Xenopus tropicalis: one gene and its partners. The protein of the gene in region 3 purifies or fractionates together with the protein of the main gene of each other region. This does not show direct contact. Links are inferred from orthologs where the notes say so. Each region holds a gene or a part of one and is shown on either strand. Other genes may lie near its edges.

Region 1 (4,073 bases), on a different chromosome or scaffold from region 3:
ATAAAGGCTGAGGCGGTTACATCCGCCTCTAACAGCCATCTTGCGTTCCTTCTATCATTTTGTTGCACAGCAATTCCCAGAATTCCCTACAGAGGCTGGGGGGGGGGGGGTTAAACAAGCCTGATAGAAATATAAAACTTTATAGCGCAGCCTTTGTTTCTGTATGTATGTATATCTTTATAAAGTGCTACTTATGTACGCAGTGCTGTACAGTAGAATACATTAATACAAACAGGGGGTTATTAAGATAATAGATAAATACACAGTATAACAATAAATACAGATAAATACAAGATACAGTTGCAATAAGATAAGAGTCGAGGACACAAGAGGAAGGAGGTCCCTGCCCCGTAGAGCTTACAATCTATATGGGAGGGGTAACTTACAGACACAAATAGGCAAATGTAAGTGCTGTAGGTCACAGTGGGTGACACTTCAATATAAGTGCCAGTTCCCAGTATAAATACATATACTGCCCACACTGCTGAAGCAAGGTTGCCACCTAAGCAGTAAAAATGATGCTTGATGCCAACCTTATTAATAGGGAATATGCACACAAATAAATGAAAGCCTGTATTTTTTTTATCCAGAAAAAATGCTTAAGGTGTAAATAATGGTTTAGTGCAACAAAACAAATATATGGCAGGAAAATGTTTACCAGTAAGTACCCTACTCGGCCGCCCCTAGTCTGTTTCCGGTTCCGTTACACCCCAGCTTCACAAGTGCGTCATGGTATTTATCAGCGCCCCATTACCTACCCCACGCATTCTTACTTCCCGCGCAATACCTGCCTATCCGGAAGTTGCGTCAGCCTAAGCCGGAAGATAATGCCCGACGCGGGAACGAACGTCAAACGGCGCGGGAAGCAAACACCGTGCTCCAATCAAACGTGAGAGCTACTGACAAGCCCCGACCATGTGACCAAAGCTGGTAGAATCAGCGGCCATCTTTAATGCTGGCAACGACTTCGAACGGCTTTTAGACGTAGGAAGCGAATCCGTTTAATGTACTGGTTTGGTAAGGCAGACTCGGCTGTACGTGGGGGAGAGCCATTATACCCCTGTTTACAGGCTTGCATAGATAGGGGGTGATTATGCGTTTCACACTATCCAGAAGCGTCATTGGTTGTTGCTTGACGGTGAGAGGGAGGGGCTTGCGGCTCAGAGGGGGCGGGGCTGGGGGGCGCGTTTGGAGTGAGGTTGTAAGCGAGGCGCGGGAGACAAAACGGAGGGCGGGAAAGAAGGAGCGGGCTGTTTGTGACGGTTGTGTGGGACGGAGCGGTACAGCCGGGCATACCGGGGAAGGAGGAGACGCCACAACAGGTGAGTGCTGTTTCCTTTCTACTCCGGGCTGTCAGCCCACTCTTACTCCCCCCATGCCCACCTTGCTGGTGAACTACAAGTCTCTGTAGAATATTAACTCGGGGGCCACAGGCTGAACTAATAGTCCCTACCTGTGTGTCCATAATCCCCATTTCCCTGTACGTGTTTACTCACAGGGGCGTGGCTAATGTGTGCCTATAACTTATATAGGAATATACTTGTATAGGGAGCCCTCAGTCTTGCACTTGGCCAACATCCGAAAATAGTTTAATGCTCAACATACAAATTGTATCACTAGTTGGCATAAAGGCTTGCACTTTATTTCTGTTAAGCTTCTGTGTGTCTGTGGCTGCTGGGAGTTGTAGTTCAGCCCTGGGGGCTGCCTGATAGGGGTAACTAACTGATAGGGGTAACTAACTGATAGGGATAACTAACTGATAGGGATAACTAACTGATAGGGATAACTAACTGATAGGGATAACTAACTGATAGGGATAACTAACTGATAGGGATACTTAGTTATGGCTTTGTACAGCTCTGCAGTATGTGTTGGTGCTTATAATAACCTGTTACTATTATTATTGTGAGCCTCCTCCTGTAACCGGTTATTGGATGAAAGTCCTGTCTGAGCCCAGTGTGACACCTATATAGAAATAATTGCTACTTCGGTTAACATTGCTTTCATTGGAATGTGAGTAGCATATTTAGGGGATCCCATTGTTAGTATTGGGGCTCATGTTGGCAGTAGCCAAGTTGGGGCCCGTGGGCCAGATCTAAAGCTGGCCATAGACGCACCAATAACATCGTACGAAACCTGGTTTCGTACGAAATTCAGTGCGTTTATGGCAAGTCGGCGAGTCGACCGGTATCGCAGGAAGCTGCTGATATCTGTCGACTCGCCGACCAGCAACGTCAGAAGATTTTGATCGGGGGCCATAGAAGGCGCCTGACCAAAATCTCCCTTCGGCGCTGAATCAGCAGAAGGAGGTAGAAATCCAATTGTTTCTACCTCCTTACCTGCAGTTTCAGCGCTGAAGGTTAGTGGCGGATCTGACAATCTTTCCTGCGACCGATGGTTGCACAAAAGATCGCAGATCGCCACGTGTGTGGCCACCTTAAAGCTGGCCATACACGTGGCGATCTGACGATGTTTCGTTCAACCATCGGTCGCACGAAACATCGTCAGATCCGCCACACACTATTCAGGGCTGAATCGGCAGGTAAGGAGGTAGAAACAATAGGATTTCTACCTCCTTCTGCCGATTCAGAGCTGAAGGGAGATTTTGGTCAGGCGCCATAAAATTTTCAAACTGGTCCGGTCGGCGAGTCGGCCGATATCAGCAGCTTCCTGCGATATCGGTCGACTCGCCGACATACCATACACGCACTGAATATCATACGAAACGAGGTTTCGTACGATATTATCGGTGCGTGTATGGCCACCTTAAGGGATCTATGTGCCCCCCACGCTCCTCCCAAAGGCCCCATTGGCCCTCAGACATGTGCTATAAGAAGTAACTGTCCCACTGCCTGTAGCGAGTTGAATGTGGCTGGTCATTGGGGTCATTTCACAGTATATCGTACCCACAGGGCTTCCCTTTGTTGCTATAATATGCATACACCAGTAACTCTACCTTGTAATGGGGGGGATCTGAACATGTAATGCATGCTGTAATATGATAACAAGGCTTGAGTAGGAGACATCATAGAATTGTCTGTTAACCTGACAGAACAGTGGGAACAGCACTGCCGGCAGCGCAAACAGACGGCTATTGGGCAGCATTAAAACTTCCCGTGCCATTGCTTCCTACTAGAGAAACGCTCAGTTCAGGAGTTGGCCAAATCCAGGCACCTTTTGCAGGATTCAGCTAAATACTTGGGGGAATATTTATCATGCTGTGTAAAAAGTGAAGTGAAGCATTACCGGTGATGTTGCCCAGGGCAACCAATCAGCAATTAGATTTCAACAGTTAGAAAACCAAAGCAAAACATCTGATTGGCTGCTATGAGCAACATCACTGGTAATGTTTCACTCCACTCTTTACACAGCATGATAAATATACCCCTAGGTGTTCATTCAACCCCTTAGTTGTGTGCCTTTAAAGCTTTGGGCAGCTAAGTGTGACATGTGTTTTTAGTTTATGGAAGGTGACGTGGTTTGAATTTTTCCCATATTTTAAATTCGGTGTTCGTCTAAATGCAGAAATGATTGACTCGATGCATGGCAGGATCTCACTGTAATGTGTCTGCGACTGATTCCAAGGAGTGAAGAGGATATTGAGCGGAATAGAGAGGAGTCCCCTGTTGAGCAAACTGGGAAATCCAGCGACTGATTTGTGGGGTGCACAGCCGAGCTTATTTCTAATTGACTTTCAGATATCAGGATGAATGGGGGGGAATAGAGGCTAAGGAAAGGGTTTGTGCAGTGTAAGGGTGAAGACACACAGAGCTACTAGTTGCAGCAACTTGTCGTGGCTACTAAAATAGACAATGCTGATCATTTACTGATAGTCTGTGTGTTAGCAGAGGCAATTCTCAGTATTGTCTATGTCAGGGGATTTTCTGGAGTTTAGTTGCCATTAAAAATAGCTGCTACTAGTAGCTCAGTGTGTCTTCACCCTTACACACACATAGGCTTCTTGTATTTCTGTTAGAGAAGGGCAAGTACAGAGTATAATAAGTGCCAGAAATGCAATTCAGAATGCAGTTTCTCACAGAAAGACTGCCATACCTTTTCACTTAAAGATATAT
Region 2 (4,206 bases), on a different chromosome or scaffold from region 3:
TCTCATACTCTGGAACCTTTTCCTGGGGCTTCTCACCATCCCGGCCATCTCACACTTTGGCTTCTCACTAAGCCTTGTCGTTCTGGCACTCATACACATGGCTCCTTGCAGTGGCAGGCAGCACCCCCAGCCCCCTGGGAGTTCCTAACACAGGCAGGCAGCATTCTTGCTCTGTGTCCTACTCTGAAAGACCTTTCTCAGTGACTCCTGGCACTTGGTTACAGCTTTCTCTGCTCTGAGAGTGAACCCCTCTCTGTGAGTCCCCCTGTTTGTGGCCATACACGTAGCAATTCTGATGGTCACAGGATCGTTTGTTTCCCCCACAACGTTCAGGGCTGAATGTGGAGGTAGAAACAATAGGAATTCTACCTCCACCTGCCGATTCAGCCCTGAACGCAGATTTTGTTTGGGCGCCTTCAGTGGCACCCGATCAAAATCTTTTAACCTGGGTGATCGATGAGACAGCCAATATCCACAGCCTTTGCTATATCGGTTGTCTCGTCGATCCGCCATACACGCACCGAATATCGTTCAAAACGAGGTTTCGTACAATATCATTAGTGTGTTTATGGCCAAAATAAACATTACATCACCTGGCAGTTGTTTTTCAAACTATTGCAGAGTTTGTAAGAATTTGTATGAATTGTTTTCTGGAGGAGGAAACTTTGTAAAAATGAATGTAAAGTATATGCCATTCCACCGGCGATTCACTTTATTGCCAGAGGAAAGGCTTTTCAGGGAGATTAGTTGCCTGCGATAGCTGAAATGTAACCATGGGGGACTAATCACCCTGTGTGCCACCACCCTTAATGGTTCTTCACTAAGAAGAATATTTTATATAAAATCAATATCAACTTACCTGAAATACAAACATATGTCGGCCTGCAGGTACAGGTCCCACCAATACAGAGTCTAAAACCTGGTCATATTCTTCACTTTCAGCAGAGCCCACGTAAATAATTTTCCATTCTAAATCTGGTGGAAAGTATAATGTTAATTGAAAAGGAATGGGAAATTAGCTCTTCAGCTATCTATAAATATAAAAGTAGTCTCTTAGCCTGATGCCACACAGGGCTGATTCTCAGCCTGAGGAAAACTATTGCGTCAGTTCAGGTGCAGGCACTTGTAGCAGATATGGGTTGCTGAAATGAGAGGCAAGGAAGAAGGCTGATGCCAGCATAGGGACTCTGTTTTACGACAGGCCCTGTGTGGCATCAGCCTAAAAAAAAAGTTCATTAGATGACATCCTAAACATAGTGGGGTTTTTTTTTTTTTTTTTTTATCACCGTGGGATGGCATATGTATTGTTTCTGTCTTCTGAGTCTGAATTTTTCTTGTGAGGCAACTTTTGACTTTTTCAGTTCACATTTTTAGTAAATGTCAGACATTAATGAAAATGAATTTAGTCAGATTTTTAAAAATTGCAGCAGCTAGCTGTATCAATATATTGTTCTTCTGAAAGTGGAAAAATGGATGACAGATTTGATCATGGAGAACTGGACATCTTTCTAAGGTGACACATTTTCTTGTTGTTATTCGAAAAATTATTATATTCATAATTTTACCATTAATTTGGGTTAAAAAAGGACAACTGCCCATCAAGTTAACCATTTTTAAAGAGATTCATAGGCAGATTGTCAGTGTGTGTTTTTATTTACTATGTTGGGACAGTGATTATTAACGCACACAAGCGCCCAGTTCCATGAATATGTACATCTAAATGCCCCTGTGTTACTATTGAGTTTGTGCCCATTACACAGTGAGATGAGGGAGGGGCTATAATTCCACCTGTGACATAAAAAAAGATGAATGCAAGGAAGAATAAACATCTTTTCTCCCCATAACAATGCAATAAACATCCTTATTTTTGTATTTTCCCATGTATTTATATAATAAAAACTGCAGGAAAAAAAAAATAGAAAACAAGCTTTTGCTTTTCACTCCAGGCAGCAGGTCAGCATTATACAAGTAACCGCTATTTAAAATCTGCTGTCTTTGCACTGCAAGAGCCCCAGTGCAGAGGTCACATTGCGTGTCCTGCATTGTCTGTGTCTGTTTCACACTCATTAACCCGACCCCCTCCCTCTCTATCCACAAACAAAACATGGCTGCTGCTCCTGCCACCAGGGCACCTTTCAAACTTACTTTCCCAGTGTGTGCAGCAGCATTCCCATACACTCCCAGCTAGTGCAACCGCAAGTTTTTTCCCTGCTTGTCTACGTTAATGTGCCGGCATTTTATTCCTGTCAGCGCCTGCTCTGCTTCTTAGCCAAGCATCAGGCCTGTGGGAATCAGTTTAACCTCTTGTGCACTAGGATGCTTCTTTAGCAGACTGCCAAAAGAAAGAACTGATTGTAACTCACCTTCAGAAAGGTCCTCTATGCACTCAAAGGTGATTTCGAACTGGAAAGGATTGTAGAAAGGAGAAGGGTTATCCAGCACCACCACATTGTTCACCTGAACCTTTGCCATATTTTGGAAATGCTCAAACAATGGGGATGGTGTGAGAGTGCAGGCAAGACCCAGCAGTGCTTATCTGTGCAGAGCCCCTGTCACTGCTTCTTGCAGTTCTTTACACCAGTCCTGAGAAACTTTCTTCCAAATCAGCTTATTTGTTTGTTTGTTTTCTTTTTATTTCATCCATTGATTACTTTCAATGTGAGCAACTCCACTCTATTTTATTTATTATTTCTCCCCCCTCCCCTGCTCTCCTATCTTACTTCACTACACCACATTCTGTTCTGTTGCTATAACAGCGTGTGTCCGGATTGGCTGCTCCCTGGCCCTTCCCATAATGCTAAAAGCTACACGACAGAAAAAGACAGACTTCTCATGACCATGGGAGCTGGAAATGTTTAGCAGCTGCTCCACCTGCTGGCTGACAGCTCGAGCACACCTCAGGGAGGATCTCTCCGCACTGACAGGCTCAATAGTCTTGCTGCATCTGTGTTTCCTAGCGTCTGAACAGTTCAAAAGTAGTGAGCTTTGCCTCTTTTGGCACTTTGAGGCTTTCAACAAAAACTTCGCTTCTTTAAAAAATGTTTTTCTCTATCTCCCTGGTGTACAAATTAAGATATTCAGGGATCAGCTGAGTTTATCTCATAAGGATATGCATGCAACCAATTAAAGGCTGTTGCACCTGGGGCTCTGAATCCCCCCTGGCAAAATGTCCTCTGGGGAAAAGCTGTTAATCAGAATTTTTGTTTTTTTGGGGTTTTTTTTTTGCTCTTTATTTACTTTTATTTATATTTAAAAAAAATTGACAGTAATGTAGCAGTTACTTATAGGACTATATGGTAGAACCCCTATTTCTGGGAAAACATAAAAAATAAAATGTACCTTGCCTGTATGGGAGGACAAAAAAACCTGCCAATTCTGGGAAAACATAAAATTAGGGTTCAACCATAGTAAATTAGGTTGAAAAAAGACACATCCATTAAAGGAGAAGGGAAAGTAAAAACTAAGTAAGCCATAAGCACTCACAGAAACACTGCACTGAGTCCTTCAAAAGAAACACAGGATTTCTTGTGATTGCTTGTTTTTTGTGAAAATGTTCTTCAGTATCAGACTTCCTCTCTTTTAGGGCTCCTTCAGGTTTGGGGCATGAGTCTGCTCAGTTCTTTTACTCTCCCTCTCCCCCTCCCTTCTGCTTCCCCCTCCCATAAGAACTCCCACCCTTAGGAATGTGTGATTCGCGCTACCAATGGCTATAACTGCAGCAGGAAGCTACCAAGACCAAGCTAAAATGGCAGCTGCTATCGGAGGGAGCTTCTAGGGCTCTTTACTCAGGTATGGTAAAGCTTTCTGCTGAATAAATATAGCGTTCTAGGTGGTACTAATGTGGCAAATCTATTGGCAGTAAAATGCTAAAAATTGCTTTTCTTTCTCTTTCAAGTTCAACCTTTTGTGTCTATATATAACCTGCCTAATTGCTAGTTGATCCAGAGGAAAGCAAAAAAAAAAAAAAACCCTTCTAAAGCCTCTCTAATTTGCCTCCTGGATCATCTAAAACTATTTTCAATGACCATGTCTATCTAATGTATCTGCCAGAAGGACTGATTCATAGGGAGAATTTCACAACTTCACATCTCTCGCTGAAAAAACCCTTTCTGAATATTTAGATATAATGTCCCTTCTTTTAATTGAAATGGATGCTTTTGTGTCTGCTGGAAGGACCTACTGTTAAATAATTCACTGAAGACCAAA
Region 3 (3,500 bases):
CTGACTTTGCCCAGGTGCAGTAACCCACAGCAACCAACAAACTGTTGGTTAAACAATTAAACAAGGGACCAGTAAATGCTTCCTGCTGATTGGTTGCTATAGGTGATTAGACCAGTAGCAAATGCTGCATCTTTTATTACATATCCCCATTAGTCTGCTATCTACTAGCCGCCTTTAGGGGAGGCAAATAGATAGGGCTGCAAGTGAAGCAGCTGTTGATGGCATTCCTGGCACAAAAGCCCATAACAATGGCAGCAAACTGCCATTATTGTCTTAAAATTTTCTGTTATCTTCACGTCCCGTGTTCACGTTGCAGCATCCTTTCTAAAACAAGCATGTTGCACTAGTTTGAGCTTTAGTTACAGTACAGGGTGATCCGAAGAGCACTGGTTTCCTCTTGGCTAACATGATGGAGTCCCGAGATATAGGAGGGTGCAGCGGAAGGAAGGTCAGTGTGTATGTGCACGGCGCATCTGGAGAAGCTGAGGTGCTGCAGAGAATGCGTAGGTTGGTGCTGTAGCACAGGGCAAGAGGCGGCTGGGAAGGAAGGTAAACAGTTTGTATGAGAAAGCAGTTCTGTGACCTTGCTTTGCAGTTCATTGGGAGTTCAGCAGTTTGGGGCCACATGGAACTATGACTGCGTTTCCTGGTGAGTCTCACTCAAGCGGCTCTTTGTGTGCTGCCCATGTTCAGCATTCTGCGCCATGCAGCTCCCCAGTGTTACCAGGGATTCGGGAAAGCCGTCCTTAAGAAGAATGCCACGTTCACGGTTGCAGTCCAGCTCCTCAATAAATCCATACCAGTATATGACTAGGCCAGGGCCAAACCTGATAGGAAAGGGAGAAAGCAATTAGAAAAGGTATGTAGGGATAATACATGCACGAGCTTACAAATGTATCAGCTGTTTAACATGGGTGAAAAAGATTTTAAGTATTTACTGGGCACAGCAAACCCCTCTCCAACAGAGCTGACACTCAGAGGTCCCAAACTTTTTATCCGTAAACAACAACAGTTAAATATAAAAAACAGTTGGAGAGCAACACAAGCATGAAAAAAGTTCTTACAGGTGACCAATAAGGGCTCTGATTGGCTATTGGGCAGCCCCTATGTGGACTGGCAGCCTGTTTGGCAATTACACTGGGTTTTTATGCAACCAAAACTTGCCTCCATGTCAGAAATACAAAAATAAGCCCCTGCTTTGAGGCCACTGGTTGGGGATCACTGTTATTAGTCAAAACCTGAGGCAGATGGACAATATATGAAATGCCCAAGGTCTGAAGAACTCATTACAAAGTTAATAACACTCACCACAGCCAATGAGCCAACACTGCAAAGGCCTCATACCTTAGATGCCAAGTGCACCTATTTGTTTAGATCAAGTCACAGACATCCCATAATTAACTGTATGCACAGTGAATTTCCCTACATGTTCCTTTATTCTTAATGCATAGACTAAGAATGACCAAAACTGACCAAGAATTTCCATCTCCACCCTCTGCAAGTTGTGAATAGAGTATGTATATGGATCAGGAAAGTCCAGTTTGTAGCTCTCCAACAGCTGGAAGGGTTGCAGGCTGGACATTCCCAGTGTATTTCTTTTCTCTAACTGTCACATAAAGGCAAGCCTGTGTTTCCTGACCTCCCTTTCTCATGGAGAGTTCCCCTCGGCAGACTCAGGAAACAGAGTGCGGAACTATTTGGCCCATGAGGAAGTTCAGAGCTTCATCCTCGGGTTCATAAACAAGTAAGTAATGGCCATCAATCAGAGAGTCGTGCTGCCTATCAGCCTCACCTCACTTGAGCAAACAGTCTGCCGACCCTCTCCCAGGCCCTTCTACACTTATTTCATTTACTTTGCCAGTCAAATTAGGGTCTTGTGCTAAAAATATCTGACTAAAAATGTTTCTTTTGGGGGGTTGTGAAAAAAGGCAAAGACAATTGGATAAGCGCATTAGCGTGGATAAAAATAATGTAGGATAAGGTTTATATTGTGCATGTTATAAAGTTCTACCTACCTACCAACATTTTCAAAGAATGTCTTAATCTCAAGTACATAGTTACTATCATATGAAATGATATCTACGGACACATTATTACTGGCATATTAGGGCAATCATTTTGCACCTACCATACATGGCATGGATATAATAATGGTATTGCTATAATTAAATGTAACATAGGGGGAGCAGACAGAGAGCAACATTCTGTAGGACTAGGACGCTGGTGAAGCAGGAGAAAGCTGATAGTGCCAACCTTCACGATGCTCTTTTGGTCACTTTCTGATGAGGTACCAACAGGGAACCCACTCACTTTAGAGATCAGACAAGCAATTAACAAGGAGGAGTCAAGCAATTAACAGGGAGGAGTCGAAAACCAGGAAAACACAAAGTAACAGGCTTAGGCAGGATAGAGCTGAGACCAGAAGTCAGTCAGGGCACAGTATAATGGCAGAAAACAGGATTCAGAGGCCAACAGAGGGGACATACCTGTACATAACTGACAAGTCTAACAACCAATAGGAATTTCCCCGACATCAAAATAGAGCTAAGAGCATCATTACACTAGCTGCAGCGCACTAAGCATGCCCATGGGGTCTTCCTGCACACCACCATGTTATTGCTCAAACAGAACTATGTGGAATAATGCCTAGAACTTACCAAATGTTGGGAAGATGTTTTGTAGTCGTATCAGACCAACACTGTGTTTTTTTGACCAAAGTTCAAAGCAAACAACCCACCATACTATCAGTGAAGTACAGGGGTAGAAGCATTCTAATAAGTGACTGCTGGTCATCAGCAGGGACTCGGCATCTGTTACACGAAAGGGAGCAAATTGCAGGGAAATACCGCTAAAACTAACTGAAGCTTGTCTAATGGGTCATTCTCTCAGGAGAGCTCCACCCACAAACTCCACCAACAAAGATTTTCTAGGGGAAGCTCCCCTTTAGGGAGAATAGGCACCATCTATTTTTTTTTTTGCTACCCATACAATGTCCCCTGTATTTAAACAGCACTATTCTCGTAATACAGTTACTACTGGATATACAGCAATTAGGGCAGCCATGTTTGGGACACCAAGAAAATAAGGTATGGTCCAAGGCCGTAAAGAGTCGCCACAGACCAAATCAGGCTTCCCAGCTTGGGATCCATTGTCCAGAGCTGATCACTTTAGGCCTCCCCATAGATGAAAACAAAGCTAAAGATAATCAAAATGTCATTACACAGGAATATAAATGAATAGTCACCAATAAACCTCATACCTTGAGACCTCCATCTCTCTTTCTTTCTTTCTTTCTTTCTCTAGGGACCAGTCCCACCAGTGCAATCGAAATCTTAAAGTTATATATATAAATCACAATCAAGCTGAAGTGAAATCAGTTTCACAAAAGAAAAGAATCATTCGTTTGATTATATGTCTTGGGGCACTTGCGGTCTACCCACAATAGGAGCCACCATTCTCAGCCTACTGATACATTACAAAGGGCCATTCAAGTTTCAAGT

Evidence for each region.
Region 1: the proteins of c15orf41 (region 3) and asf1b purify together in Homo sapiens (affinity purification with mass spectrometry; 4 studies listed by BioGRID and IntAct, counting the BioPlex papers as one, with this or other methods). This does not show direct contact. The link is inferred for Xenopus tropicalis from reciprocal best matches to the Homo sapiens genes CDIN1 and ASF1B.
Region 2: the proteins of c15orf41 (region 3) and asf1a purify together in Homo sapiens (affinity purification with mass spectrometry; 3 studies listed by BioGRID and IntAct, counting the BioPlex papers as one, with this or other methods). This does not show direct contact. The link is inferred for Xenopus tropicalis from reciprocal best matches to the Homo sapiens genes CDIN1 and ASF1A.

Annotation. Positions count from the first base shown.
Region 1 is NC_030679.2:134,227,291-134,231,363, reverse strand, and holds the start of asf1b (histone chaperone asf1b), read left to right. Parts: upstream 1-1,273; 5' UTR 1,274-1,322; intron 1,323-4,073. UniProt on the Homo sapiens protein: Histone chaperone that facilitates histone deposition and histone exchange and removal during nucleosome assembly and disassembly. Cooperates with chromatin assembly factor 1 (CAF-1) to promote replication-dependent chromatin assembly.
Region 2 is NC_030681.2:73,626,504-73,630,709, reverse strand, and holds the start of asf1a (histone chaperone ASF1A), read right to left. Parts: upstream 2,801-4,206; 5' UTR 2,473-2,800; coding exon 2,364-2,472; intron 976-2,363; coding exon 860-975; intron 1-859. UniProt on the Homo sapiens protein: Histone chaperone that facilitates histone deposition and histone exchange and removal during nucleosome assembly and disassembly.
Region 3 is NC_030684.2:111,286,254-111,289,753, forward strand, and holds part of c15orf41 (protein C15orf41 homolog), read right to left. Parts: intron 828-3,500; coding exon 632-827; 3' UTR 1-631. UniProt on the Homo sapiens protein: Plays a role in erythroid cell differentiation.